Callithrix jacchus: one gene and its partners. The protein of the gene in region 5 interacts with the protein of the main gene of each other region in a pairwise test. Links are inferred from orthologs where the notes say so. Each region holds a gene or a part of one and is shown on either strand. Other genes may lie near its edges. The genes, in order: FSBP, RAD54B, LNX1, PAK5, ATPAF2, RPIA and LRRFIP2.

What was found.
Region 1: the proteins of ATPAF2 (region 5) and FSBP interact in binary tests that used the Homo sapiens proteins (3 or more experiments, as listed by UniProt). The two-hybrid records come from large-scale screens. The link is inferred for Callithrix jacchus from reciprocal best matches to the Homo sapiens genes ATPAF2 and FSBP.
Region 2: the proteins of ATPAF2 (region 5) and RAD54B interact in a two-hybrid assay, tested with the Homo sapiens proteins (2 studies listed by BioGRID). The two-hybrid records come from large-scale screens. The link is inferred for Callithrix jacchus from reciprocal best matches to the Homo sapiens genes ATPAF2 and RAD54B.
Region 3: the proteins of ATPAF2 (region 5) and LNX1 interact in binary tests that used the Homo sapiens proteins (3 or more experiments, as listed by UniProt). The two-hybrid records come from large-scale screens. The link is inferred for Callithrix jacchus from reciprocal best matches to the Homo sapiens genes ATPAF2 and LNX1.
Region 4: the proteins of ATPAF2 (region 5) and PAK5 interact in binary tests that used the Homo sapiens proteins (3 or more experiments, as listed by UniProt). The two-hybrid records come from large-scale screens. The link is inferred for Callithrix jacchus from reciprocal best matches to the Homo sapiens genes ATPAF2 and PAK5.
Region 6: the proteins of ATPAF2 (region 5) and RPIA interact in binary tests that used the Homo sapiens proteins (3 or more experiments, as listed by UniProt). The two-hybrid records come from large-scale screens. The link is inferred for Callithrix jacchus from reciprocal best matches to the Homo sapiens genes ATPAF2 and RPIA.
Region 7: the proteins of ATPAF2 (region 5) and LRRFIP2 interact in binary tests that used the Homo sapiens proteins (3 or more experiments, as listed by UniProt). The two-hybrid records come from large-scale screens. The link is inferred for Callithrix jacchus from reciprocal best matches to the Homo sapiens genes ATPAF2 and LRRFIP2.

What each region holds. Positions count from the first base shown.
Region 1 is NC_133517.1:32,762,318-32,767,075, forward strand, and holds the start of FSBP (fibrinogen silencer-binding protein), read left to right. Parts: upstream 1-1,658; 5' UTR 1,659-1,734; coding exon 1,735-2,108; intron 2,109-4,758. UniProt on the Homo sapiens protein: Transcriptional repressor that down-regulates the expression of the fibrinogen gamma chain. Represses transcription of GSK3B gene promoter via its interaction with APBA1.
Region 2 is NC_133517.1:32,724,875-32,729,331, forward strand, and holds the start of RAD54B (DNA repair and recombination protein RAD54B), read left to right. Parts: upstream 1-1,436; 5' UTR 1,437-1,552; exon of another isoform or gene 1,553-1,651; intron 1,652-4,457. UniProt on the Homo sapiens protein: Involved in DNA repair and mitotic recombination. May play an active role in recombination processes in concert with other members of the RAD52 epistasis group.
Region 3 is NC_133504.1:143,048,259-143,052,902, forward strand, and holds the start of LNX1 (E3 ubiquitin-protein ligase LNX), read left to right. Parts: upstream 1-1,505; 5' UTR 1,506-1,809; intron 1,810-4,644.
Region 4 is NC_133506.1:16,737,998-16,742,008, reverse strand, and holds part of PAK5 (serine/threonine-protein kinase PAK 5), read left to right. Parts: intron 1-2,276; coding exon 2,277-2,410; intron 2,411-4,011.
Region 5 is NC_133506.1:69,116,634-69,121,119, reverse strand, and holds the start of ATPAF2 (ATP synthase mitochondrial F1 complex assembly factor 2), read right to left. Parts: upstream 2,897-4,486; 5' UTR 2,741-2,896; coding exon 2,608-2,740; intron 1-2,607. Other genes in the region: GID4 (glucose-induced degradation protein 4 homolog), read left to right, coding at 3,206-3,643. UniProt on the Homo sapiens protein: Plays a role in the assembly of the F1 component of the mitochondrial ATP synthase (ATPase).
Region 6 is NC_133515.1:25,424,368-25,428,378, reverse strand, and holds part of RPIA (ribose-5-phosphate isomerase), read left to right. Parts: intron 1-967; coding exon 968-1,028; intron 1,029-2,528; coding exon 2,529-2,584; intron 2,585-4,011. UniProt on the Homo sapiens protein: Catalyzes the reversible conversion of ribose-5-phosphate to ribulose 5-phosphate and participates in the first step of the non-oxidative branch of the pentose phosphate pathway.
Region 7 is NC_133518.1:74,951,917-74,955,317, reverse strand, and holds the end of LRRFIP2 (leucine-rich repeat flightless-interacting protein 2), read left to right. Parts: intron 1-25; coding exon 26-105; intron 106-679; coding exon 680-784; intron 785-1,217; coding exon 1,218-1,328; 3' UTR 1,329-2,518; downstream 2,519-3,401. UniProt on the Homo sapiens protein: May function as activator of the canonical Wnt signaling pathway, in association with DVL3, upstream of CTNNB1/beta-catenin.

The DNA of each region.
Region 1 (4,758 bases), on a different chromosome or scaffold from region 5:
TATTTCTTCAGAAAATAACAAAATAATTAAATAAAATACATACCTTGTGTTCTTTCTTTGGTTCTCTTTTAATGTTGTGAAAGCTCAGAAAATGCTAGAAATGCTAGTATGATTTTGAGTACCTGTGGTCCAGTTGTTGGGGCAGGTCAATTTTCTTTTTGCATCTCTATGGACAAGAATCATTTGCATTGCTGATTTCTACAATTTACAGAGCTGTAAAACTGCTCAAAGACAATGAAAGGAAAGAACTATTATAGAATCAAATTACTCAGTGGGGTATACCAGACAACACCTAGCGTTCCACAGGACATCCAGCAGTCTTTCACTGGTTTTCTGAAAGATGATACATTTAAAGCTTCTAACACAGTATCTGGCTCAAGGTGAGAGCTCAATTTAATTTGCTTCTCCATTGTTAAAAGAATGAAAAACAAGATAATTGAGAATTTATAGCATTTCTGTAGAACTACAGTTCCCTGGATAGGTGCTGTATCTAGATTGACTTGATTTCTTACACAGTGCCTGGGAGCATTTTTATACGTGGTCAGTAATTAAAAAATTTATTTCCCCACCTTTTAATACTATCACAGTTGTTCAGTAATAGTTTGATTGGATAGAACTATGTTCAAATATGTTCTGATTTATTCCCCTATCTGGAAAAAACATATATATTGTGAGAAAAATAGGCTTGTCTTACTTACATTATTATGTATCATGTATTTTCATACTGGGGTTAACAAAGATATTCTAAGCACTGAAACTGGTGGCCTTGAAAATGACGAGACTAGCTGTTTCCTTTCATAGTCCAAACTGTGTGAATATAGCTAAATAAAAAATCTGGCTCTGTTATAATAGCAAATTCGATTTCGTGTGTGGAGTCTTAAGGCGTGATTATACTGTTTCTCACCATGAATAGTGATTTTTTACACATGATAAGGCAGGCTAGCATATTCACATACATTACAGCTAGAATAATCCATTGCTTTAAAAATATGATTTTTACCTGCTTTTTAGATTGGGTGTTCTGGAAAAATTTCTTCTTAACTGAAAAAAATATGCAGAGGCTAATGTAGACTGTAAAATGAAGGAGAAGCTTAGCTTTACTGTGGAGTCTGGGTCTGGGTGTAACCTAACTAGCTAGTGGATATGCAATTCCTGATTGACAGCAGGTCCAGCATTATGCAGATTTTGTAAGGGAGAACACTCAGCTCAGAAACAGTGATGAGAGGCTCTGTTAGGAATTACTACATTCACTACTCATATCTTTTGGTTTTCTGTCTACTGGATTTGTAAATAAATAGCACAAAACTGTTCCTCTTTTGTTTTTATTAAAGTGATACTGCAATGCAGTTCAGTCTGTCAGCTAGGCATACATGTGTGAAATTTGATATTCTCACTAAATTAGCTAATTTTTAGCTGTGTTCCATGCTTATCTCTAGACCTTTGTGTATTAAATCCTGTCTCGAGCTGTTCCCTTTATACACAAGTGTGTTTTGCTTGTGCCTTCCTGTCTTCTTCAGTGAGAAGCTTTATGTAGGTCAGGCTTGGCTTAAGCAGATTTCCTGAACCTGCGTCAGCTTAAGCTGGAGGAATTTTAATAAACCCTCCCCTGTAGGCGTGGGCCTAAATGAGGCTAGCCTAGTTAAGCCTGATCTTTTTCTGTTTGTGAAAAGAGCTGAGCAGAGCTGAAGGCTGCATGGTGGTTTCGGAAACTGCCTACTTAATTTGAAAAGAACAATGGTAGGAAAGGCTAGATCTTCCAATTTTACCTTATCTGAAAAGCTTGATTTGCTAAAGCTTGTGAAGCCATATGTGAAAATTCTCGAAGAACACACTAATAAACATTCAGTAATAGTGGAAAAGAATAGATGTTGGGATATCATAGCAGTTAACTATAATGCAATTGGAGTAGATCGCCCTCCTCGAACAGCACAAGGCCTACGCACCCTTTACAAAAGGCTCAAAGAATATGCCAAACAGGAGCTATTGCAGCAAAAAGAGACCCAATCAGATTTTAAAAGCAATATTTCTGAGCCAACCAAGAAAGTTATGGAGATGATTCCCCAGATTTCCAGTTTTTGCCTGGTAAGAGACAGGAACCACATACAAAGGTAAGCTTTATTTTATTTTGTTATGGAAAATTATGGCGCCTCCTATCCATTGGGCTTTGGCTTAGTTGTGACAGAGATATGCATAGTAAGCATCCCCACAACGGGAGCAATGAATAGTGTCTTTGTTTTGCATTTTTTAAAAAGAGAAAAGTGAGGCTATAAGGAATTTTTCTGTTGCATTTAAGCTACTTTTTAACTGTCTTCCCCTCCCTCATCCCCCCTGTAGTTTCTAAAAGTAAAGGTTAGGGAGGAGTAAGTGGGATGAAATTTGTGACATCACTTCATAAACTTTTTAAGCTTTAAAATTAAATTATTTAATTTGCTTCTGAGAGATACTTTTTTTTAAATTTAAGATTACATTTCACTGGAATTTTTAATTTTATATAATATTTATATAAGGTTAGCAGTTTCTAGAGAAATGGAACCTTTGCTTTTTTATGAATTGTCATTGTCTACACTTATTGAATATGCATTAACTAACAAATAGAACTAAAATCAATAAGTAAACTTGTTAATGGCATGATTGTATATATAAAGACAGTTTAAATTATTTTTCTAACACATTTAAAATAAAGATGAACGCAACTAAAGGGAGTTAATGCCTAATTAGGTATTCAGTTTACTTAATAAAATTTAAAGTTTTTGTTCTTTTTATTCCTTAATGGTCTAGTTTCACTTTGATCTTGGGTCATATAGGAAAGAGTAAGCTTTCTCTTACTGTTTTGCAAGGATATCAAATTATGAATTTTAAAATACTCCTAAGAGCAACTGGGTTTTTTTAGAGTTAGAAGCAATTTTTTGGTTAAACTTGTGTTCTATGTAACTATTTGCCTTGGAATTTTCAAAACTATTATCTTGCCACTAATTTGGATTGTAACCTCTGGCAAAATATAAAAATGGCAGCTACATTCTTATTCTGAACCATTCAGGATAATTTAAACAAATTGTAAACTCCTTGTTAGTTTGAGGGGGCTTTCAAACAAAGCTTTACACAATGTGCTTTTCTGTTGGTGGGAGAGGCATTATATAAGCAAATTATTGATTATTGTGAAATTCCTTTGAAATTAGGAGAGAAACAGAAAAAAACACTTTGTAGCCAAGTGTATATATTATTTTGGTAATTTACTAGGAAAGTATTTTTGAGCCAAGCTTCTTACCAGATAATAAGCAGTAGCTTATTTCTACTTGATAGCACAGTAAAAAATATCACCAGTGGGAATCCAGGACATGAATACACAGTGGATTAATTCTTGGGGCCACTGCTTAAAATGTTCACTGTGATGACAAATGATGAAATCCCAATAGCTGGATATCCAGAAAGCTACACAGTAAAATTGTTTTATGCTGTGCTGCTTATGTTTATTTTCTCTCCCTTGAACCATAGAGAAAAGTGTTTTTTGCACTGCAGGTATAAAACTGTACCTTTTGGCTAGTAGGTATAAATTTTTATAATTTGAAAATACATGGAGAAACTAATTTTAATTAGTTGCATATTTAAAAAATACAGTGAGTATAGAAGAGAATTACAGTGAGTATATAAATATACAAGTATTTGGTTACATTTTGACCATTTTTGTGTGTATGTATACAATATTCACACACACACACACACACACACACAAACAAAATATTTTGGAACATCAATATTTCTGTGATAAAAATGAGTTGATTTGTGTATTTCTATACCTATGGCTTAAATAATACCAATTTCTTAGATTTTAAAGGGAAGAATGTAAGAAACATGCCTCTTAAATTCTTATGTTAGTGTGTCTGCATTGACATTTTCTCCATATTAGCTTATTTCTTTAATGTGCTTATATTTTTTTGACATGGTCCTTGAATCTTAATCTCAGAAGTTTAAAATTATTCTATAATCTTGACTATACTTCTATATAAATATGCCTGTTAATCTTACCAAACTCTCCCTTTTTAATAAGGAAAATACTAGTGTTTGCATTGACATACTTAAAAACATATACCTGTTTTGTAAGGCTATTTATTTCTGTAAGTCACATTGCCTTATGTCTTTATTTTTACCTTTCCCTAATATCAGTTTATATTTTGTGTTTTTGTAAACTGATCTTCAAAGTTCTGATTCTCAAGTTCTTCTCTGTCATTTCTGTGACCTGCTCTAAAGTTTTCTTTCCTCCTTTTTTACATTGTTATGCCTTAGTTGTAATGTGTTAGCTGAAATGGAATGTTCCAGATATAAGGCATGTTTTTAATTTACTTGAGAGTATAATGTCTATGTTTATAGTCTATTGTACATGCTAATTTGAAATAGTAATTAGGTGGTTTTAAAAACTTCCTTTTCATATGCAGTTTTAACCTTTTCCCATTGTAGGTTTTAGCAGAGCTATTAATAATAGAAGCAGATTTTGCTACTTTGAATTACATTTATAATTAATTGTTTTGCTTTTGGAAATCATAAAATAACACAAATAGGGACAAGAACAAAAATGAATTTATGTAATCTACCGATAGATTTTTCATTATATACTATATATGTGTTTCATTTTGTCTCTTAGATAAATATCTGATATTTCTGGCAATTTAATGCCATTAGTAAGTGACATATGGGTAGTTTTAATCTTTCTCCATGCATTCTACTTGAACTTGTTCCAGCATTTTAATTATTCGTATATAAAAT
Region 2 (4,457 bases), on a different chromosome or scaffold from region 5:
AAAAAAAAAAAAGTAATGGACTGTCACATAAGGCCCTTTGATAAGTTAACATGTAATGATCTGAGGTGAAGGAGCAAACCAGGTGCAAATCTGCAAGAGGCATGTCCCAGGCCACCTGTAGCCACTCTGTTTTAGATTTTCTGAACTTCCCCGATTACATTAAGGTAGGCTGTAGACACTATGAGAGCTAGCATTTTTTCTGGTTACCCTTACTCTTTATCTGTCCCAGTTCAAAGAAGAGGGAGGTGCAGTTTACTAGGGTGCCCAACCTTGGCAGGCCCCCAATTCAAATTCTTGTAACCCTGGCTCCAGGAGCTGCTAAAAACACAACTCAACGTATGAGGTGCTCTTTATTACTGGAAAAAGTCTCCAGGATAAAAGCTCCATAAGCACATTACTGTTTTTTTTTTTTTTTTAATTGAGACAGGGTCTCGCTCTGCCACACAGGCTGAAGTGCAGTGGCGCCATCTTGGCTCACTGCAACCTCTATCTCCCGGGTTCGAGCTATTCTCCCGCTTTAGCCTCCTGAGTGGCTGGGATTACAGTCGCCCGCCACCACACCCAGCTAATTTTTATATTTTTAGTAGAGAAAGGGTTTCACCATGTTGGCCAAGATGGTCTCGAACTCCTAACCTCAAGTGATCCGCCCACTTAGCCTCCCAAAGTAATGGGATTACAGGCGTGAGCCACCGCGCCCAGCCTTAAATTACACTTTTAAATGGCTATACCTATTTATACTCCTACCAGCAGCCCAAGTTTCCATTGTTTCACATCTTCATTTAACACTTGATATTTTTTAGCTTTTACTTGTCAAACTGTTGGATAAAACTCAATAAACAACCTTTAACCATTCTCTCTCAGATTAGTCTTTCTAACACCATTTTGACTGTGTCATCTCCTCGCACTTGGAAGTTGACTGTGTCATCTCCTAGCACTTGAAGTTGCTCAGTAAATACTAATTGAATGATGTCACTTTCCTACGTAACTTTAATGCTTTTCTAAATCCGGAGGCTGCTCCCCTTTTCTGAGGGCCTAGTAATCACGTATTCATTTCTATATTTCCAGAACCTAACAAAGAGTTTGAAAAATATCCTGCAGGCAACAGTAAATCAATGCTTTTTCGGATACATGAATAACCAGTAGGATAACCTGTACCTCTGCGATGCACGCATTTCTATTATCGCACACACCGAATCATACCTTATTTATTACTTGTCCACGCAGATGGTGAGGTCTGTAGCCTCAGCCTGTACACCGTGTCTGACAATAGGCACTAAACCAGTATTTTTTAACTGAACCGTAGACTAAAATCAAACTTGGGAGCAAGCAAAGGGAAACGCAAAGGTACATGCGCAGTGTTGCAGTAAGGTTGTCCAATCGGAGTAAGGCTGGACGCGGCGACGCAGCTGCTAGTAGTGCGCACGCGCAGTGGGCTCGTCCGCGATTGGCTGCGCCGAGGCGGGAGCCTTGAGCTTCTCCGGCGGCGAGGGGTTCGCTGGTTGCCAGAAGTTTATGTTTTGCAGGGTCAGTGGTTTCTGTCAGATTTTCGCCGGTGCGTTCTGGACAGGGAAGCTTGGGAGGCTGTGACGGCCTGTAGGCTCGTGCGGGACAAAGCAGCGAGTGGTGCGGGAGCAGGCCTCTAAGAGAGGAGGTAGGGAAGGCGGCAGGAGCGACCGAGGTGGCCTGCAGGCCTGCCGCTTTGGTCTGGTGCGAGGGACGCCCGGGCTGCTGGTCCCGGGGAGTCCCGGAGCGACTGGCGGACTGTGGGAGTTTGGGGGTGTGCCTTTGTGTGCGAGGGGTGGTTCTGGGTAGAGGCCCCTGGGGTTGCCCCTGCAGTCGTTTCGCTCAGGCTCCTGTGGCGTTTGGGGCTCCTGTGGCGTTTTGGTTTCTCTCTCACTCCTGCACTGGGAAGCTCCTTCCCAGGGCCAGGGGGTGAATGCTCCGCGAGCGCCCTGGAGATTGTCCGTACGCCTTCTTTAGGGACTTTTTATTTCTTCACTGGTCAGGTTTTTCTTTTATTTTATTAAAACCTTTTAATCAATTACCTTATGAAAGATTTTCTAGGTAGGTACAGATGCTTCTCGAATTACTACGGGGTGACCTCCCGATAAACCCATCCTAAGTTGAAAATATCCTAAGTCGAAAATGTATTTAAAACTGCTAGCCTACCTTTGTTATAAAAAAAAAATAATTTCAACTTTTTATTTTAGATTTGGGGGTACATGTGCAGGTTTGTTGCATCGGTGTATTACCTGATACTGAGGTTTGGGTACGATTGATCCTGTCACCCAGGTACTGAGCGTAATACCCGATAGTTTTTGAACCCTTTCTCCTCATTTCCTCCCCTCTCTGGTTGTCTCCACTGTCTCTTGTTGCCATCTTTTATGTTCATGAATTTAGCTCTCATTTATAAGTGAGAACATGCAATATTTGATTTTCTCTTCCTCCTTTAATTCGCTTAGGATAATAGCTTCTAGCTGCACCCACATTCCTTTTTATGGCTGCGCTAGCCTAGCTTAAACATGCTCAGAACACTTACCTGAATCTACAGTTGGGCAAAATCATGAACACAGACGGTTGTGTGGTTCCTTGTGCAGCTTTTACTGAATGCTTATGGCTTTCTTAAAAGTCGAAGAATTCTAAGTGAAACCATCCTAAATTGGGAACCACCTGTATAGCCTGAGTCTCAAAGTCAAAGGAGCAACTTAAGGCATGACGTGAAATAATGGCTACCTAATGTAGTTGGAGGTCGAAAAGCAGAAACAGCAGAGTCTGTTGCTGGTTCTTGTCCTTGAACAAGAAACAAGAGAGAGTGATCTCTACTACTCATTTCTCAAACGACGCAAAGGCTGGTTATGTATAAAATATTTACATGTTTCATCATTTTAACATTGATGAAATTGGGAAATGTCTAACCATCAGTGATAGTGTATCATGATTTAATTGGCTACACCTTTTTTCTTGGATAGGTAAAATAATGGTACATCTTACAATAAAAAATTCATTTTTAACATTTTTATTTAAAAAATGTCTTTTATATGGACTGACAATCAAGAGTATATCCTACAGTTGATGGCATTTTAGATCTGATGAAATATGGTAATTAAAAAGATCGAATTAATGACACTTTCCCTGTTACAAAGGTAACATTTTCATTGTAAAAAATTTGAGATATACAGAAAATAACTCAGAAGACATTAAAAATTACTGGTTATTCTAACCAGACTTAGAAATAATTAGGGTTAATGTTGTGGCATGTATTTTTCTGGATTTTAAAAATGATTGTGTATTTTAATATATAACATATCTACTTTATAGCAGTGTAATTTACAGTGTGCTACTAGATATGTACATTTTGATGTTTTGATATACAGCTGTATATACACTCCCTTATCCACACTGCAATCTTATATAGATTATTCTATCACCTCAAACAAGTTTCCTCATGCTCCTTTGCATTCTAGTCTTTTAAATGTACATAAACACGTTATCCTTTTTCTTTTCCTTTTTAAAAGTTGGAATGAGGCCAAACATGTTTTGTGGCCATTTTTCCTTTATCAAAAATATTTCTTATGTCATTAAACATTTTTAAAAATTGTGGTCCTCCCTATTAATGGGATCATTCACGTAACAAATACTGAACTCCTTCTGTGTATTTGGTACTGGCAATATAGTGATGAATTGTACATGAGATTTCATGCCTGAGTTAATAACTCAGGGAGAATGATAGGGCAAATTTCATTGCAGTGTGAAAAGTACTTAAGTAGTACATATACAGGAAGGTCCTCCAGTCCAGTCTTTGGAAAGAGATGAAGAGGGCTCATGGTTAAGACCCCTAAAGGACTGTAGTATTAATCAGGCAAAGAAAAGTGGGAAAAAGCATTCCCAACTTAGTATAAGGGAAAGTTTATTCAAAGCCTAGAGAAAAACAGAACCTGGCTAGCATGGGGAACAGTACTGACTCAGTTTTGGTGGTATATGAAGAGAATGTGTTCAGTTGTGTGGCTGTACCAAAATTTATCTAATACTTCATTATGGACATACTTGTTTCCTTTTCTCCCCCCCACTGTAAGTAATACTAGCATGATTATTTTTATTTATTTATTTTTCTGAGACAGTCTCGCTCTGTTGCCCAGGCTGGAATGTGATAGCACAATCTCTGCTCACTGCAACCTCTGCCTCCTGGGTTCAAGTGATTCTCATGCTTCAGCCTCCCAAGTAGCTGCAATTACAGGTGTGTACTGCCACACCTGGCTTTTTTTTTTTTTTTTTTAGACAGAGTTTCGCTCTTGTTACCCAGGGTATAGTGCAGGATGGCGCGATCTCAGCTCACCACAACTCTACCTCCTGGGTTCAAGCGATTATCCTTCCTTAGCCTCCCGAGTAGCTGGGATCACAGGCATGTGCCACCACACCCAGCTAATTTTTTATTTTTAGAAGAGATGGGGTTTCTCTGT
Region 3 (4,644 bases), on a different chromosome or scaffold from region 5:
ACAGCTTGGGCCCCACTGGAGGGCATCCTTTTGTCTCCTAACTAACTGTTTTACCATCCTTGAACCAGATGCCAGCTGCCCTGGGTAACTGCCATGACACAAAAGAGCTAACTGCTAGCTCTCTTTCAAAGGAAAGGTTAGGAGTAGAGCCAAATTGAAAGTAAAGATTAGGGGTAGAGTAAATATGAGTGAGAAGTGTGACCTTAGGACCAAAAATACATGTGCTGGCTTCATCTCACCAGGCAGAAGTTTCCAGGCTGGTCATTTTGCCTCCTTCATTCCCTGGATTATTGATTAAAAGAAACTTGCAGCAGTTTGACTCTGAAAGTCAAAAGGACAAAGTAGCAATCAGGCCATGACCGAAATGCACACAGAGGCCAAGGGACTTGCAGAGCACTTCCTTGTTTGTAAATCAGAGTCACAGTGGAGAGCTGAAGGCACTGCAGCCAGTAGCACCACCTGTGATTACGGGGCCACAAGTACCTGAACTCTCTGTGTCCTTCTTGCATGATGCATATACATAAGGTAACACCAAGGACTCGACTCACATCTCTGGAAGGAGACTACTTAACTCACTAATTATTTATGTTTCTATTTAGAATCTGATACCCAGAGCTAATCACTTATTTAAGCAAAATCTTTGGTCCTTACTGGAGCTGTCAGCCCACATTAGTGCTTAGGTCAACTGGTGGGAAAAGCAAAGCTCAGAAAAGCCCACTTCTGGAATCACAATGTTTACATTTTTAATTAGCTGGGTCACTCTGCAGGAATGACTTAGTCTCTCTAATCCTCAGTTTCTTTATCTGTATAATGGGAGTGATAATGATAGGATTCTGTTGAGAATTAAATGAAATAATGCAGGTCGGGTGATTACTATAGAATCTGGTAGACAGTAAGCACTTAATAAATGTTAGCAAAGATGTTGCAGCCGCTGACGATGGTGATGATGGTGATGATGCTGAAGAATGAGCAGAAGAAATACTTATTTAAACAATAATTCTATATCTTTGGAGTTAAAAGTCTTAAATAGTATCAGCCACAAACATGCCCATTCCTTTTTTTTTGTCTACAAACATTAGGCAATGTTCAGTTATGAGCAATACTGCCTATGGAAAATCTTTGAAAGTTTTGGCAAGGTATTAGAACAAGTCAGAACTACTTATTTGCCTGATACTGATTTTGGTGCATGCCCCTTTACTTATTGAAAAATAAAAGATGCCCAGGATTCTAGGGCCTGTCCAGTCAGCAGCCCCTGCCTATTAAGGAGTTGGTCCCAGCATGATAATGTTCCAGACCTACTGATGGCCTGAAGGTGTGGTGACCCTGTGTTTATTTCCTTGTTGATTTCCCTTCTCTGGCTCCAAGATCATTTTCCCATTGCCCGCAGGAAACAACATCTAGGGGAGAGGTAGGCCTGACTTGGCAACCCTAAAGGTGAACAAAAGGATCTTGACTTTTGGCAAGAGCAGAAGGAAGTTCAGGGGTGTCTCAGCCCCATCCAAACCAGACAGATTTGTCACTGATGGTAATGCATGCTGCTCTGCGGGAGACTGCTCTTCCTTGAATCTCCCCATAGCTGCTGTCAGATTTATGGATCTCTTCTACCCAAAGCCTTGCAGAAGGGGCAGGAGATGCCCTGGTTAACCCCTGCATGGAAAAAGGCGGAGCAGTTTTTATACACAGCTGGGGCACAGAACACTGGAAAGAGAAAGAAAAGTTTTCTGAGCTACTGCTAAGCCAGAAAAGCTCAGCTCTCAAAAGAACTATCTCCTGAGACCTCACACAGCTGGGAGACCTCATACAGCAAAGGTAAGATAGCCTTGTCCCTCCACCAGCTAGAATCTCATGCAGTTTTTTAAAACAACTCCACCTCTGCCCACTCGGCCTCCAACTCTCCCCTCTCTCTGTCTCTCTCTCTCTCTTTCTCTCTCTCTCTCTCTCTCTCTCTCTCTCTCTCTCTCTCTCTCTCTCTCACACACACACACACACACACACACACACACACGCATCAAATTGAAGAGAGTCTAAAAGATGGAAAATATCCAGGGGTGTCTTTTTCAAAACACTAGAAAGACCTCAGGACATTTGCTCTCTTTATACCTATTTTCCTGCAGTGGTCTTCATTAAAAGCTTCTTTACTTTCACAGATGAAAATGACTTGCCAGACAGGTCAGTGAAACCGTGAGGAATCCCACTAGCAGTAACTGGATTTACATGACATTATTCTTCATCAGTATTTAAAACACATCACACACAGACTTCATTTCACTCCGCAGTAGGAGTAGGTATTGCACTGCAGTTTTACCTACAGATAAAGAGGTTCAGAGAGCTGTGACCTGCCCACGGGTGTGTCGGGCTGGGGTGCCCGGCAGCACACCCTGTGCCCACTCCCGCCTCTCTTCTATAGAATGGCGACCTTACTCTTTAAACAAAATTCCAGACTACATTCTTGGCCATGTATTCTGACAAATGGTCTGATGAGAGGATGGAATTTTAGAAATTGAACTCTTCTGGAAAATCCAGAAATAGATAACCACAGTATCCTGTACAATATACCACTTTGTCATGTATCCCTGTTTACTTCCATTCCTGGGCATTGAATTCAGTTCAACAAATGTCGACAAACTATGTTCCCTGCTCCAACACTGACTGGGTCATATGTCAGGGTGCGATGCAAGCCCTGTGCCCAAGGAGAACTGAGGCAGCAGTTCAGACCAGGATGGGGAGCTCCCCTAAAGAGGTGAGCTTCAAACGAGCTCAGCATAAAGTGTGGACTTGGATTGAGGGAGAGTGTTTAGAAACACAAGTCCCTGGGAGGAATCTGTTGAGTGACCATTTACTTACACCTAGTCCATGGTGGCAGAGCTGAGGGGTGAGGAGCACAGTCTGAGGAATTAGACCGTCTGGCCTTGACTCTTGGTTCTACCTCTCACTAGCTCTACATCTTGGCGTACCTCGGTTAACCCCTCTAACCTCACCTTGCCAATATGTGAAATGGGAATGATGGTAATATGTCCCTCATAGGGTTGTCTTCAGCTGTAAATGAGATTATGCATGTGAAGTCTTTGCTGATGCATAATAAGTGCACAGTAAATATTAATACTAACTATCGTGATGGCCATGTGCCTGGTTCCAAGGGAGATGCAGGGAATACAGATAAGAGGAGGCCTACCCTCCATGTAACCAAAACCTCATGAGTTAGTTGTGTGCAACTAGTGCCATGTGGTGTGATGCATGCTCTGAGACTATGGGGGTGGAATCTTCTAAGTCTATGTGAGTTCCAGTTGGGGTTCTAGGGGACAGCGAAGGGGGCAGAGGTTTCACAGCAGAGGGCCTATGTGTAGGGCCTTAGTAAAGAATGGTGAAAAGAGCTAGACAGGTCTAATTCTGATTCCCAGCTTCCTCCTCTATTTATGTATCTATTTATTTCTATATTAATCCATATGTATTGAAAACCATAAATTCACACTTCCAACACCACAGAGTTTTCTCCCTTTCTGAATTTGTAACTGCCGTCATTAACATTGATCAGAGGCTGGCTCCCATTATCCTTAATATATTATTTGTTTATTTGTTCGGTCCCCCAAATATCACCAACTGCCATCATGACCAGTGTCCCCTGCCCCATTCAGATGCCCTCCGCACCCTGCTTAGGCCCTGATGCTTTGTTCTGGGCCTCCCTGAGCTGGCTCCTGGAATTCTGGAGCTACGATATGTCCTCCACACCCCGCACAGGTGCCTACTTTGCTCAGCCACGTGTAATATTTTTAAAGACTGTGACCTGCGCTGTGCATGTGTGTATGTACCTGTGTTGTCACTGTCTTTGATGGGGAACAGAGCTTTCTCCTTCGTATAGGCAGGGCACATGTCCTCAGCATCAGGCCTAAAGAAGTCAGGCTTATGCCATTCATTCTATTCCACTTGGTCTGCTCATCTATATGGATGTGAGCTGCTCACTATCTGCTCAGGGTAGTAACAACATTTCCAGGGTAAAAACCACTACTGGGGCAGTTAATTCTCCTTTTTCTTCTCTGCCAAGTCCTTGTCAAGGTTCTCCATTATTCATTTTACTCAACAACAGATACAAAGCGCTTACGAGGTATGAGGTGCTTGGCTAGGGTGGGACATAGAGATTTAAATCTTGATTGCTACCCTCAAGGAACTCCCAGTCCACTGTGGGAAGCAAATAAGCAATAAATTTCAATTCCATGTGGACAAGTGCAATGAGAGCCTACACAACCTGCCAGGGGAGGGCACCTAGCCCAGACTGGGTGGGCACAGAAGAGATGCCAAAAGGGAATCCTAAATGGGCAGAGATTAACAAGGTAAAGACTGGCTAGAAGCGGGGGTAAAGGGAGTGGTGTGCATGAAAGGTGAAAGAGTGTAATGGGTGGAAAATTTCAGGAGCTACCTCAGGATGGCTGGTACAGTACCAGAGGCAAGAGGAGGAGCGTCCAGGCAGGCGCAGGCTGTGAAGGTGAGCTGGTGGTGTTGGATTTTAGACTTTAGGACAAGAGCTCTGGAGCCAGACTTCCCAAGCTCAAATCCTGGTTCTGTGACCTAGGATTTGTGGATCTATAGCTGTTGAATCTTTGGCAAGTTACTATTCTCTGCCTCAGTTTCCTTCACTGTAAAACTAGAGAT
Region 4 (4,011 bases), about 52 Mb from region 5:
GTTTTGTGACTTTCTAAATTTCACTTAATGTTAACATTAATACTAACATTTTATTTTATTAACATCTAATAAAACATATAGGCATATATTACTTTTTATTAACATAATATAAAATATATTAACATATTCTATTAACTACATGCCAAAACACAATTTTAATGGCTTAATAATATTCTATCATATATATGTATTATATTTAAAACTAGTATCTAATTTATATTGTTTCCAATTTGTCAGTTTTATTGTTTTGCAGTGAGTGTTGTTACACATATGTCTTTGGCTTCACATCTGATTATTTTCTTCGATTTCTAGAAGTGGAATGAACACATCAAATGACATGTAATTTTTTTTAGAGAAGTGGTATACACTGTTAATTTCCAGAAAGTTCGTATCAATCTAGACTCTCACCAACAATACTTTTCACCTTCAGAAGCACCATTTATATTGTCATGTTATCTCTGTTCATCCGCTAGACATGAATAAACCTTACAGTTTTCATTAGCACTTTTATTACTAGTGTGGTTAAATTGAATTTTATGTAAGTTTAGGCCATTTTTATTTCTCCACCGAATCGTGTGTTCGGTGTACAGTTTTCAGCTGGGGTGCTAGCATTTGTTTTACAGATGCGTTAAGAGCTATTGATATGTTAAGGAATCAACCCTTCTCGGTCTATTGGTTGTACTTTAACATTTACCTTCCACTTTCTTTTTTTTTTTTTTTTTTTTTTTTGAGACGGAGTTTTGCTCCTGTTACCCAGGCTGGAGTGCAATGGCGCGATCTCGGCTCACCGCAACCTCCGCCTCCTGGGTTCAGTCAATTCTCCTGCCTCAGCCTCCTTAGTAGCTGGGATTACAGGCATGTGCCACCATGCCCAGCTAATTTTTTGTACTTTTAGTAGAGACGGGGTTTCACCATGTTGCCCAGATGGTCTTGATCTCTTGACCTCGTGATCCACCCGCCTCGGCCTCCCAAAGTGCTGGGATTACAGGTGTGAGCCACCCCCGGCCACTACCTTCCACTTTCTCATTTACCTTTTAAACTTATCATTTAAGAAATCTAAAATAGGAAGGGAAACATGAGAAATTATGTTAGAAAACACATCAAGTATTTTGCAGTAATATTCTTTAAGTAATTTTATAAGAGCATTGTGGGGAAAGATATATGTTTGTGGATGAGAGCTCTAAGCCCTAAAGATATCAAGTCAGGATATCAGTGTTAGATGTCAGTCTCCAGGACAGGGTGCGCAATCCACCTTCTGACTCCCAGAACAATCTACAGCTGCTTGACCTCTTTGTCTTTCTATTGTAAGCACTCCTATTCTTTGAGAAGTAGGCAGAAGGTATTTAATCCATAAACAGGCACTGTGCGAATGCACTCAGCTGCAATTCTGAACTCTGTTTTTCACGGAGGCTCATGTGAAGCCCCCAGTGGCCTCCACACATCTCCAGCTCCCATGGGTGCTTATTTCTCACACATGCTCCAAATCTCACAGAGTTCCAGGTGAGTGGGCTTCAGCATCTTCCCAGTCCACTATTCCTGACTTCTGGAATTTATTTTTCAAACCACAATGCCAGAACACACAGAGCAATATGAGGTGGATAAACAATTCTGTAATTTATTATTAACACTAACTCTGAAAACTCCAGTGAAAACAGCCACAGGGCAGCAATTTCTGGAAGCTCTCTCCAGCAAGCAGGCTCCTTAGCCTTTTTTATGTGTATGCCATATTTATCTTCAATATATATTCTTTGAATTCAGCCCAAATATCTCTCAGGTTCAACCCATACCTTCTTCTAAGGAGAATTTAAGTTGGTCTTGTGTGGCTCCAGTTTTAACAATAGCTTACTTCATTCACTTATGAGACTCATTCCCTCACTTACTATGAGTTGGTGACCCTTTGCTAGGATAACCAGCAGAAGATTGCGAACAGCACATTCTAAAGGAGACCCTTAGGGATATCTGATCATATCCTTGCTGACAGACAACGAAACTCCCTCTTCTGAATGCAGATCTTGCTTTTGTTCTGCCTGCTTTCATTACTCTCTCTGTCTCTCCAATGTCTGGGGGACCTGTCATTTTCTCTCAAATTTGCTACCTTAATTCCTTTTATTTCTACTAGCTACCCTTGATGCTTTTTGTCTGTCATATATTTCTGAATAAAATTCCCCACAATCAGCACCTCTCAATCAATTTACTTACAGTTGTAGGTGTGTCCACAAGAGAACAAAAAGCAACTTCATCTTCACAAGTCAAAAGTATCTTTCCCATTCATCCAGGTCGTGATCATGCGGGATTACCACCATGACAATGTGGTTGACATGTACAACAGCTACCTTGTTGGTGATGAGCTCTGGGTGGTCATGGAGTTTCTAGAAGGTGGTGCCTTGACAGACATCGTGACTCACACCAGGTAAGCTTCTTTATTATCCAGATAATTCTTATCATTATTCTCCAGGATTATTCCAGATAATGCTTCTTATTCTTCTCCAGGATAAAGCTTCAGGGACTATGAACTCTTTCTAAATTGTGGGCACTTTGGAGTCAGGGAATATGACTACCCTTTACCCCACATTCCCCAGAAGGCCCATTATGCTATCAGGCATGTACAGTTCATTCATTTGGTTAATGTTCTCCTGTCCTCACAAGGGCATTAATACCCATTGATTTAAAATAAGCAACCTGCTAAGAATGAAGCTTTGGTGGCAAATAATAGATTTTCCCATCACCTACATAGATTTCTAAAGCCTAATTTCATTCTCCCAAGTTACCCTACTGCTGCTGCGTGCTAAGATCACCAAGGATACCGGGCAAAGGAAGGAGCAGGGAGAGTATCAGTCGAAGTTTTGTATCAGAATAATGAATCTACATGGCATAGAGAAATTCTTCAAGTCTGTTTTAAAATATTCTTGCAAGTAACAGTGGTTAATTACCAGCCTATTGCTTCTGCTATTTGCCTCCCTGATGTGCCAGGTCTAACCATTTTGTTAAATATTTATTGAGCACCTTTTATGTGCCAGGCTCTTTTGCAAGTGCTGGAGATGCAGAAGATAAAAATGAACATGGCTCGGATACATCCCCTCAGGGACATCGCTAATGAGAAATACATGATAATATCAGTGCAAAATTAGGAAGATATATATGTGCAGCATAGAAGAATATCTTACTGTCTCTATTAGAGTCAAGAAAGATTTCTGTTTAATATAAGGTGACATCTGAGATGGATTTCAAGAGATGAATAGGAGTTTACTAAGAAGGCAAGTGGGAGGAAAAGGACATTGAAGGCAGAGAAGAGAATATGTGCTAGGACAGTGCCTCTTCAATTCCAGTGTCCACATACATCATTGTGGATCTTATCAAAATGCATATCCTGACTCACTAGAGAGGGGTTAAGATTCCATTTATAGCAAACTCCCAGGCAATGCCAATGCTGCTGGTTCATGAACCATACTTAGAGAAGCAAGGTTCTGTGGAATAGACATATAAAATAGCATGTTACATTTGGGAAACTTTAACCTTGGTCTTCATCATAAATAAAATGCCAAAAAGTTAAAGTAAGAGTTGTCATGATGAAGGGGTATTGAGTGTTAGCTGGTGTTATTGAAATGGCACCTGAATCAAAAGTGGATCCAGGTATATAATATGTGGAAAGCAAGGTAACAGGAAAGCACGGGAAAACTCCATGAGGGATAGAACATGCTGCTTTTTCTCCACTAAAATGAGATTTCTTGTGGCTCTACAGTTCTCAGTCTGGAGTAGACCATCTCACAATAAAGGGTCGTGAGTGAAGACACTGAACATTTATCACCAGCAATTCAGCTGGAAAACTCTTGCTGGTGTAGCAATAAGACATGCCCAACAAAAAAACCACATAAGATCATCTTAATTGTTAGAAACAAATATACTGGAAAGATATAAGAATAAGGCAAATGTGATATACAGTTTTTGCTTTTCTCATAAAAAGCAAAAAATAAAAATGTGTTCAGGGGAGAAGCTTTTTTCTTAACCTTCCAG
Region 5 (4,486 bases):
ACATTTAGCAAACCTTTTCTGTAAAGAATCAGACAGTAAATATTCTAAGCTTTGCAGGTCATACAATATCTGTTCCAACTATTCAACTCTCCACTGTAGTGAAAGCAGCCATAGATGATATGTAAACGAATGTATGTGGCTGTGTTCCAATAAAACTTCGTTTACAAAAACAGGTGGCAGGCTGGACCCTGATCTACAGACCACACAATCTTCCTCAATCCACACCACTATCCTATGAGGACGACAAGGCAGTTAGCTAATGCCTCGGAGGTGAGAGAGAACCTAACGTCTTCTCTAGATGACAACTAGTAAATAGCAGAGACAAGACTTCTAGCCTTGACTTCATTAGGCAGTTGCATTCACTCAGATATGCTGATTAGATAGGTTTCTCCAGAACACCTCCCAGTCTGGGAAGTCAATAGACCTCTGACAAGCTGGTGCAGAACTGAACTGCCACAACCACTCACATAGGTCTTCTTGTTGTAGTATCTCCTTCTCCAACACCTCAGTGACCCTTTCCTAAACTCTTCTTCTCCTTCTGATGATCTTCAATGGCATGGCCATTCCTAAGCAGCCAAGTTCAATCAGCTTGCTAACTGAAGTGTTTATTGAGAAGAACCTACTTGGGTTTAATCTTCTACTACAAACACACATAAATATCTCACAACTGGTAAGGTCTTTGTAGAGCACACACGGACCTGATTTATGCACCTTCCTCTTCATTCATTCATTCACTCCTATTTTCTTTCACATTTGACTACCTATCATGTGCCAGGTACTTCCAAGAGCCTAAACTAGTAAGTTTGCAGTGGAAAGGAAAACAAAACAGTAGGATCAAGTGCCATCATTATATAAAGACAGCATCCACGAATCTAAATTAACCCTTTGTGGTCAAACGTGGTAACCCACCCACGCCTGTAATCCCAGCACTTTGGGAGGCCAAGGTGGGAGGATCACCTGGGTCAGGAGTTTATGACCAGTCTGGCCAACATGGTGAAACCCCGTCTCTACTAAAAATACAAAATTAGCTGGGCGTGGTAGCGGATGTCTGTAATCCCAACTACTCCAGAGGCTGAGGCAGGAGAATTGCTTGAACTGGGGAGGCAGAGGTTGCAGTGGGCTGAGATTGCACCACTGCACTCCAGCAGGGGAGACAAGAGCAAAATTTCATCTCAAAATAAATAAATATATACATAAAGTAATTAATTAACCCTTTGCTTTTTCCAACTTGGTGAACTCCTGAATGTGTCCCCTTTGCTATGGACTCCCTGGGATGTCCTTTCTTCTTCTTTATTGGCCCTTCCCCCAAGTCCTACAGGAGAAACTTCAGCACCCTTCTGCATCCAGCCACCTTCCCCATTTCTATAAAGTTATAGAATCTGACAGCCAGAAAGACCCTCAAAGGCAACATCGTACTTCAACTCACAGAGAAAAATGAGGAAGTAGTTACATGCCCAAGATCACACAGACCTCAGAGGTTCAGCCAGCATCAGATCCTAGATTTCCACTTCTGCCACAAGGCCAAAACTGCTTGTGAAATTCTGGATTTTCTAAAGCAGGCAGTGTTAGGGAAAAGTCCCTCACACCTTGCTGTCACCCCTGGACATGTTCTAGATACCCAACAGTCTTCCACCTCCTTGCTGAACTCCTACTCATCTATCACTGTTCAGTTTAAATGGCCTTTCACCCAAGACTTGTTCTAGACTCTGAACATCCCTAAGATGGGAGTAGGTGATTCTCCGTGTCCTCACAGCTTCTTTGTATGTCCCTTATCAGGATATTATAAACCATAGTTTAATCAGGATATTATAACCTTTTTCACTGAACAGTCAACATCATTCAGGTGGGCCTTTTCTTCTTTAATTGAGCTTCTCTACCAATACATACAGGTGGGTCTTAAAGACTACTGCGCCTCCTGCCCCCAGCACAATAAAAGTAATTGAATGGTGGCGGGAGGGTGTTACTGCTCTTCCTTCACTGAAATGAGTCATTTGCCCTCTCACCCTAACACCACTCACTATCAGCAACAAAAGAGCCACAACTTCTAAGCTTCATCAGAGTTGGAGGTGGAGGTGATTCCAAAATCAGAGATGGAGGTGTCAATTTCTATTTAGGAGAGAGAGAAGGCTGCAGATGGCAGGGGTTGCACAGGATGGAAAGTCAGGAAACCTGCAGCTAAAGTGCCCGGGATGGAGGACTGATTGAACTTGGCCCTTCTGTGCAGGTCTTATGTTGGGCAGTGGAGACATAGAAAGCAGTCAGACTCCAGAAACCCGAGTCTGCTCTGTAACCTAGGCGAAGTTCTGATTCAGGGCCCAAACCTCCCCTTTGGAAAACAAAGATGACACTTGCTTTCCTCATTAAAGAGAGGGCAGCCATAAGCTTTGAGAAAAGCTGCCCAGGCCAAATATCAATTAATGTCTCGTGCAGGACGCGCTGTTCCCCCTCGGGTCGTCTGCCTTTGTTTGGGCTTCTCTTTCTCGTCTGTAAAAGGACCCGACTGGCCTGCATAACCTCATGAGCCTGAACCCTGCCTCAGTCACACCGCCCTGCACAGCAGAAGTCCGAATTCCACCTTACCCCCAGCTCGGCCCTTCATGGCCTCACCTGTCGGCGGGGCGTAAGCCCGGGCTGGAGACAGGATGGTTAGCCCCGGACTCTTAGAAGCGCTGGGGCCACCCGCAGGCCGATTCAGGAGGCGGCGTCCCCCGTCCCGCAGCCGGTGACAGCTCCTCCACATCGCGCCCGATAGTCTGGGAGGATGCGCAGCGTGAAACCTAGAGCAGGAAACGGAGCGAAGGGACCTCCAAAGCCGCACGATCGGGCTGTACGGAAACCTCTCACCGCCCCCTCAGAGCCCGCAGCCTCCCCTGGATGCCGCCATCTTCCACATGACACCAACGGCGTGCCGTCGCCGCCGCACGCCTCCTGCGCACACCCCCAGTCAATTAGCATCACAAACGCGCCTCGCTCCGCCCCCTCCACGCCGCGCCTCAGCGAGAAGACCACAAGTCCCAGCGGGCCGCTCGCGCACCCCACCACGTGCTTTCTCCTCCCGCCAATGGGTGGAAGCGCCGTGTAAACCTGTTCCCGCCCTCACCGGCTCGCCCGAGCCAATCGGAAGGGGCGGGGTGTGTGTTTGTGCGTGCGCGCGCGTGCGTGTGTGTGTGTGTCTGTGTGTGTGTGTGTGTGTCTGTGTGTGTGTATGTGTGCGCGAGGGCAAGTCGGGAGGGGGACCCAGCTCAGGACTGGGAGGCCCTGCTCTCAGGTCCCTGGGTCGCGGTGGCGGCCGAAGCGCTTAGTTTGCATACAGCGGACGGGTGGTCGCCCCTCCCGCCCCCACCCTGCGCGTGCGCGCCTCGGCCTCTCCCTCCCAGCCACCCTCCTTGGCTCCCGCGCGGCGGCGGCGGTTCCTCTCCCACTCCCCCCAGCCCTGGCTCCGGGGGACCCCGCGATGCCGGTCCGCACCGAGTGTCCCCCGCCAGCCGGTGCCTCGGCTGCCTCCGCGGCCTCACTCATCCCGCCGCCGCCCATCAACACCCAGCAGCCCGGCGTGGCCACCAGCCTGCTCTACAGCGGCTCCAAGTTCCGCGGCCACCAGAAGAGCAAGGGGAACTCGTACGACGTAGAGGTGGTGCTGCAGGTGAGCGCCGGGCCGGGCCGGGGCCCGAGGGCCTCCTCGCGGCGCTCACGGGCCGTGCCCGTCTCGGCTCCTCGAGCCGGCAGCCGCGGAGCAGGCCCTCGTCGCCGGGGCCTCCTGCACCCGGCGCTTCCCACCCGGGACCTGCCCAGCCTGTGCCTCACACTCTCCGAGCCCCAGCCCTGACCTGCCCCCTCAGATCCAGAGCCCGTCAAGACCCGCTTCTGGCGGACCCCGAACACTCTCCCAGACTTGAAGCCGGTGACCGGCCGGTCCGGGATCCGGAAGCCCCCATGACTCGGGGAAGGCCCGGGTCCTCCCTCCTCATGACCTGCCGTCCCTACATCAGGGACTGCCACGAGCCCTTTTCAGACCCTGAAGAACTCTCCATTGGTTTCACCAGACTCTGGACACTCCCCGTGTCTGGGCCCATGTCAGATTCAGAACTGAGTCCTGCCCTCCCGCCTCTTCCTCAGTCCCAGGAATCCGCAGACCCTGGGGGCTTCCTCTTCCTGAGATCTCCTTAGGAGGGCTTCATCAGACCCCTCAGACGGGGGAACACCAAACGCACCACTGATTGGTCAGGCCCTGGCCCCACCTCAAGACCAGACACTCACTCCCTGAGTGCTGCTCACAGTCTGCTGGGATCTTGCCTCCTGGGTCCCCTGTTCCACTCGCTGCTTCCCTCTCTTCATGCTCCAGGCACCCAGCCCCTTCCAGCTGCTCCACCTCCCAGCCTCCTGCCCCTGCTCTGGGACCACTTGCAGTCTTCTAATCTTCCTGGCATCTGTCCAGATTCCCCACCCCATATCTTCGTCTTGCTCGATCCTGGTTCCAGGGGACCCT
Region 6 (4,011 bases), on a different chromosome or scaffold from region 5:
AAGTTGCTTAGGCACTGAGCTCTATGTTAGTTCCTGTTAGTACCCCTGGCCTTGTTTTTTGCTCTTTGTGGTCTAGTAGATTCAGCTGAGCTCCTACTTTGTCCTTGGTCTGTTTGTAGGTACCTTCCCTATTTCTTAAGGTGGTAGGCTCAGTATTGCGATGTCTGTTTCTTATACTTTGTACTGAGGAATTGCGCTGCATCGATTACAGATCCTTCCTATTGCAGATGAAGACTATTTTTCATGTTCTTAACTAAGCCTTTGCTCTCTTCCCATTTTCTCTAAGGCAGGCTCATGCAAAATGAGCACCCTTGGTGTCACCTAGGCAGATGCTGACATGCTTTATTATTTTGAAGTTACTTCAGTCCCTCCCTTTATCTGCTGATTTTGGGAGAGCTCTAGATGGTGGACCTGATGTGTCTTGTGCTACCAACTTGAAGGTGCCTGTGGAAGGCACTGAAACCAGAAACCTTAGCTTTCCTCTCTTACCCAGGCTCCATGCTCTGTTGTTTTTCTTAGGTGTTTTCTTTCTAATTACCTCCTTGGGGTTGGCCAGGAATCTTTTCTTTTTTTTTTTTCTTTTCAAAACTCACTGTTGCTGGCTTGAAAGATCAGGAATCCTTAAGTGTTTATGTGCAGGCCATTTCTGTGAGGGTTACGTAAGTTGCTATTCAATTGCAAGTAATTGCACCAATTATTTGGTAGAATGTAGGGAGGAAGTGGTGGTGTTGACAGTGTCAGAAATGAAGGGAGGAGGTTCTTGTTGATCATTTGTCCGCCATGCATTGGCTAAAGTACAGCATTGAGGTTCAGTGTTTATGTTCCTGTAAAATAGGCACAGTACCTGTCTTGCATCTGTGTTGCTGAATTGCTATTCAGAATAATTGTATAGCTTTAGGAAGTGGGCTGACAAGGGAATAAAATATGGTATTGATAAGTTTTGTTTTTTCTCCCCCCTTTTTGGCAGAATAATCAAGTGCTGGGAATTGGAAGTGGTTCTACAATTGTCCATGCTGTGCAGCGAATAGGTATGTTCTTGCACTGTTTGCTGGATGTTTTGTGTATGATGATGGGGTAGGGAGGTAGAGGAGAGGGAGGAAGTGGCATTGTCCTTTTGGCTTCAGCTGTGCAGAACTGGAGAGATGGGACTACCTGAGGTCAGTTGAGTGTTTCTGCTCTTTTGTGGAGAGAGGGAAACTTGGGGCTCTTCAGCCAACTCTAAAGGATGCCCTTGCCTTTGTTTACTCCGCTCAGCTGGAGGGGAAGAGCTGACTTGAGGTCCTGATATAATTTTAATCATGTCAATGGCATTCTACTGTCAAGTCCTGTGTGTGGTCTCAGACTTCCTCAGGCAAATAATTGAGGTCACAGTGGTTTTGCCTTGTCTATGACCCTGGAATGGATGCGGGGCTCCTGCACCTGATGCCTAGTCCCTGCAGGTGCTCATTTCACACCAATTAGGGTGTGTCTATGCTTAGGAAAGGCTCAGGAATTATCAGCCCCTATGGCTGCTCAACAGGTTTTACTGCCCTGCTCTTTGTTTGTAAGAACAAAGCCCAGAGGAGAGGCCTGCCTGAATGCTGAATTCTTCTAGGTGCCAAGGGGCAAGGCCCAGGAGGCAAAGTCCAGGAACACTTTGTCATCAAGGAGTGTGGTTTTACTGCTGGTGTGATGGCTTCTAGAAGCCTTATTGGCCAAATGGGAGCATTTGTGTTGTATATCTTTCAATCTTAACCAAGTATCTGGAGAATACTTTCAGGGCACAGGAGTTACTATGAATTTTATAATAGTGGCACCCAAACCTCCCAAGATGCACTCAGTGATTTAAAAGACTTGACATTTTAATAAAAGTTTTTTTCCTGAAATCGTTTTTTTAAAAATCAGACTTTCCTGAAAGTTACAAATCCAAAATGAAAAAATAAGTCTCCTTTAGCTACCCTCTAGGGCCTACAAATAAGTATGTTCTTTACTAAAATGTGAAAATAAAGTTCTAGCATTTTCCTAGAAGAGACAATAAAGGGGAGTTAAGACTGTGTGGCTAGATGGCCTGGGATCATAGTCCAGCTGTGCCATTTATTAATGGTATAACTACCGAGTTACATTACCTCTCTGAGCCTCAGTTGCATTATCTGCCAAATGGGGAGAGTAATTTAACTTAAGTTTTGGGTTGTTAGGATTAAGAGCTCATACATACAAAGTTCTTAGAATATTGCCAGGCACATAACAATAGCAAACACTGACATTGCTTTCTGTGGTCAGTACTTACCTCTCCAGACTTCCGTGTGTCCCTGTCTTCTGATGTGTGAAGTACAGTCACCAGCTTTTCCACCAAGGAGGGGGACACAGAATGAAAGGTGTGCGGTGTTCGCGCCAAGGGCTTGAGACAGCTAGCGTGACTCGCCCCAATAGAAAGGCAGCTGACAGTGGAAGATAGACCTTCCCTTACCTGTTGGATTTGAGTAAACACATGACAAGAAAAATAAAGTGAGGAGAGTGAAAAACTCTCAATATGTCTTTTGTTTCCACAGCTGAAAGGGTGAAGCAAGAGAATCTGAACCTCGTCTGTATTCCCACTTCCTTCCAGGTATGTCCTGCTTTCCATCTGCATTGTGACAGCTTCTGCTCTATCTTCTGGTTCCTTGAGGTTGTGGACACATGGCCTTGTCTTGTATCTCAAGGTTGTTCTAGGTCAGAGAGTCCAGGAATGGGAGAGTTTATTGACCAAAGATTTCATCTTAGAATTGTAGTTTTAGGTGCATTTGTTTATTTACTCAATGAATATTTCCATGCATGTTGAGTTTAGGCACTACAGAGTAGGCAGAGATGGCCAGGTGGTCTCTATCTTCAAGGAATATTATTCCTATTTATAGGTGAAAAAAATCAGGCTAGGCCAGGTATGGTGGCTCATGCCTGTAAACCCAGTACTTTGGGATGCCAAGATGGGCAGATCACTTGAGCCCAGGAGTTCAAGACCAGCCAGGGCAATATGGTGAAACACTGCCTCTGTGAAAAATAAAAAAATTAGCTGGGTATGGTGGCTTGTACCTGTAGTTCCAGCTATGTGGGATGCTGAGGTGGAAGGATTTCTCTTGAGATCAGGAGGTCGAGGCTGCAGTGAGCTGTGATTGTGCCAGTGTACTCCAGCCTGGATGACAGAGTGAGACCCTGTCTCAAGAAAAAAAAGACAAAACAGGCTAAAAGGAATTAAGCAATGTGTTAGTAATGCAAGCACATCATAAAATAGGAGGAAATGATGGAGGAAAGCAGTGGAGCTAGTTAAATATAGAGAAAGAAAGAGCAGGCTTTGGGAAGTGGAAGGGAAGACAGTTGCTCAGATGGAGCCAACTCTCATCCTACGTCTGGCCATTGCAGGGAGGAGTATGCGTATAATCTCTCATTAGATTAGTCAAGATGATAATACGCCCTGGGGTAGGAGGTGAGATTTATAAGTGACTGGTACTCCTGGGACTTTATGGACTTAGGCTTGGAACCCTCCCAATCCTGGAGGCACAGAATGCTGGCAGCCTGCAACCAGCTCTGGTGAAGGGAGGGAGGTTAAGATTCCTTCTAAAACAGACATGGCATCAGCTTAATGGTAGGGAGTAAGGCAGAGATTCCAGGTAGACAGGTTAGGGAGTCAGGAGAGTGCATACTGTTGGAGCTTCCTTGATGTTAAATCTCTCGGAGACCCTAAACAAGCTGGATGGTCATCCAGGGGACTGAAAGGAATACCTTAAGTGTTTTTTTATTGCTGCTTTTTTTAAAATCCTGCTGTCTTGAGAAGACACTTTTAAGGCCTTGGTGGCTTGTGGTGGATTTTTCGCTTTTGAAAAGCGAAATACTCAAGGTTTCTGACTGACTTGATCATCAAGTATTTTTATTTCCTAATAAATTACATTGGTGTTTATTTTTAAAGCTATATATGGACGTGGATTGAAGAAACCATACAAATGTTTTTATTTGAAAGAAAAAAAAAGCCACTGCCCTCACCTTCCCCAAGATGACCACTAC
Region 7 (3,401 bases), on a different chromosome or scaffold from region 5:
AATTCATTGTTATCTTCTGTTCTAGGAGATGCCAACAGACAAATTAACGAATACAAATTTAAGCTTTCAAAAGCAGAACAAGATATAACCACCTTGGAGCAAAGTGTAAGTACTTGTATACAGTACCAGGTGATGGAAATGTCCTTCCTGCATCTAAGTGGCTGACAGCCCAGGAGTGCCTGGGTTGCCTCGGGATGCTTTGCAGTTGGATCCATTAAAGTTCTGTATTCAAATAGAAAAGCCAGCAGAGAGCACTTGGTGGGGCATTTTAGCCTTCTGTTTTCTCTTAGAACATAGGAAACTATAGCTATCACTGGTTTTTGTAGCTATTTCAAGAGAATTCAAGATCATCATTTGCAACAAAATCCCTTAGTATACATTCCAGAAAGTCTAAGAACTTTTCCATTTAGTGAGTCTCTTTGGGACTTAAATACTATGGTCATCATAAAACTTAGCATGGGAAATTGGCCCTAAAATGACTCTACAGCTGTAATCCTCTCTGGGGACATTTCTTGATTTATAAATAGCAATGAGTTCTGAGAGGACCTATGACTCTCCCTTAGGGGACTTGTTAGTGTTAGATTACTTGGCATTTATAACATTGTATTTCCATCTTGGCTACCAAAAAGCGGTGACTTCTAGTGCCCAGTGCTAGAGGCCTGTGTTCTTACACTTACAGATTAGCCGGCTTGAGGGACAGGTTATGAGATACAAAACTGCTGCTGAGAATGCTGAGAAGGTTGAAGATGAACTGAAAGCAGAAAAAAGGAAGCTACAACGAGAGGTACTTCACAGGCTTCTTGGAAAATACATTCCTAAAAATATCTTTTGGAAATAAATTTCTTAGCTGTGTAAGAAATGTGATGCTTAAGGAAACAGCAGTTGAGTTACTTACTAATTTGTGTTGGTTTCTGACCTGCATACTGACTGCCGTCTCCTTTTATGTTTTGGTCAGTTAGATAGTAAGTAAAAAGACAGTTTTTGTTTTTGCTTCAGATCAGGATTATTTCTCCAATTTCATCCTTTCTGTGATTAAAGCGAATAAAGAATCCTCAGTATCATCATTTAATACCTCTACCTGACAGAAAAAATGAGGCTGTGGGTCCTGCACAAGGCCATCCCAATAGCAGTGCTTTCATTTTCCAGAAGTTGAAAATAAAGTAGCACTGGACGTTGTTTCTGACCACATGTAGTGACTGCACTCTCCCTGTCTCCAGTTACGAACAGCACTGGACAAGATTGAGGAGATGGAGATGACCAACAGCCACCTGGCCAAGCGGCTGGAGAAGATGAAGGCCAATAGGACCGCACTTCTGGCCCAGCAGTAGGAAGACCACCCTTTGACCTGGGTGCTGCTCCCTGGGCCCCTACCTAGAGGGACTGACTTTTGTCCATTGACACAAACCCCTTTTAGTACTGTTTTGAGTTTTGTCGTTAAAACAGCCACCTTTGTATTTTATAATTTATGAGCGAATGAAGCCAGTTTGAATCTTCGTGAATGAACACTTCGGATGTTGTTGTAGTTTGATTCTAGACTAAGAACCAGTCCATGCTGTTTTTATTTTTTATCTCCATAATTGTAGAATCATGTTTACTTAACATCTTCCCCCAGCTGCCTCAGTAACTGGGCACTCGGAGGCCTTGGCACGGGTTTTGGAGGACAGACAGCATTTCTGTGAGTGCTCACTGAGATAATACTTGCTGGAGACCTCAGAAAACACAAGTGCCTTCTCCACGGTGCAATTCAGACTACAGTGATCTCCAGTGGTCAAAAGACATATACCCTTAATATCAGACAACATTTATATTTTGGTGAAGAAACAAGTTCTTGGGTGAGAAATCTGTGTTTCACTCAAATTTATATGTCTGGAGGAAAAAAGCCTTTTTTTGTAAAATATTTAAATTTATATAAGAAAATGTTAGGAAAAAATATGGGGAGTGTATATAAAACTTGCGTTATTGCATGGGGCAGGGGAAGTCCAGGCCTAACACTCTTAAAGTAAGAGTCAGGTCCTTTATTCTTCAATACAACTGTGCTGTACCTGGTAAAGTATTTTATCTGCTGCTTATGTGTGGAATGAAACCTCAAACAAACCCAAAGGGGGAGGGGAGGGCAGTGCGGGCAGGTCAGAAATCTGCCTTAAGATTCTATTAAATATACCCTTCTGCCAACCACAGTTGGCTACTGACATGTTCGTTTTGTTACAGGAGAGTTCAAAACAAATCATGGCAACCACATCTGTCTTCTTTTGTCTCCTTCTCAAGGAAAAATAATCTGGAATGTAGAACTTTAAAGACTTTAGTTTCATCTTTAGAGGTGCCCTGTCCAAGAGGGTTTTTTAAGCCATGGAGTGCAACTGTTTTGCAGGATTTATGATTCTCTTTTGCTCTCAGTACCCAGGTGGTTTCATTGAAATTATTAATTTATCTTTAAAAAGTGTTTACACAGAAAACATATTGGGGAAAATCTAGTAACTAAAGGCACATGAGATAATAAAACTAGACTTTCAAAAGGTAACTCAAAAGTGAATGAAATTTCTAATATTTGTTCCTTCTTTAGCCCTTCATTTAAAAAATACAGATACCAATTTCCGGAATTCAGATGATTTTCGTATACATTTTTTCTTTTGAGACAGAGTCTTACTCAGTCACCCAGGCTGGAGTACAGTGGCACAATCTTGGCTCACTGCAGCCTCCACCTACCGGGTTCAAGCGATTCTCCTGCCTCAGCCTCCTGAGTAGCTGGGACTACAGGTGTGCACCACCAAGCCCACTAATTGTCGTACTTCCAGTAGAGACAGGGTTTTGCCATGTTGTCCAGGCTGGTCAAACTCCTGACAGCAAGGGATTTGCCTCCCAAAGTGCTAGGATACAGGTGTGAGCCACCGTGCCCTGGCCTATACCTTTTCTAATAGTAGCAACATTGTGTGGTTGGGGGGTGGGTGGAAAGGTGTTCTAAAGTGCAGGTTTATTCTAGAACTCCATCCCCGCTAGAAGCAACATACTGTGTGACCCAGCTCTTAAAGCTCAGAAAACCCCTCTTCCTCTCTACTCAAGGTCACTCAGCCTGTGCCACACCTGGGCTCATGGAACCTCACTTCTGAGGTGCCCTGGTCTACTTTGTGGAGTTCTTATTGTTCAAAACTGACCTCGCCTATTTTGCGGCACAATAAATATGACTAACTCATACTTATGCCGGGGGCAGTGGCTCACCTCTGTGTTCCCAGCACTTTGGGAGGCCGAGGCGGGCAGATCACCTGAGGTGAGGAGTTTGAGACCAGCCTTGCCAACATGGTGAAACCCCGTCTCTACTAAAAATACAGTATTAGCCAGGCATAGTGGCACGTGCCTGTAATCCCAGCTACTTGGGAAGCTGAGGCAAGAGAATCGCTTGAACCCAG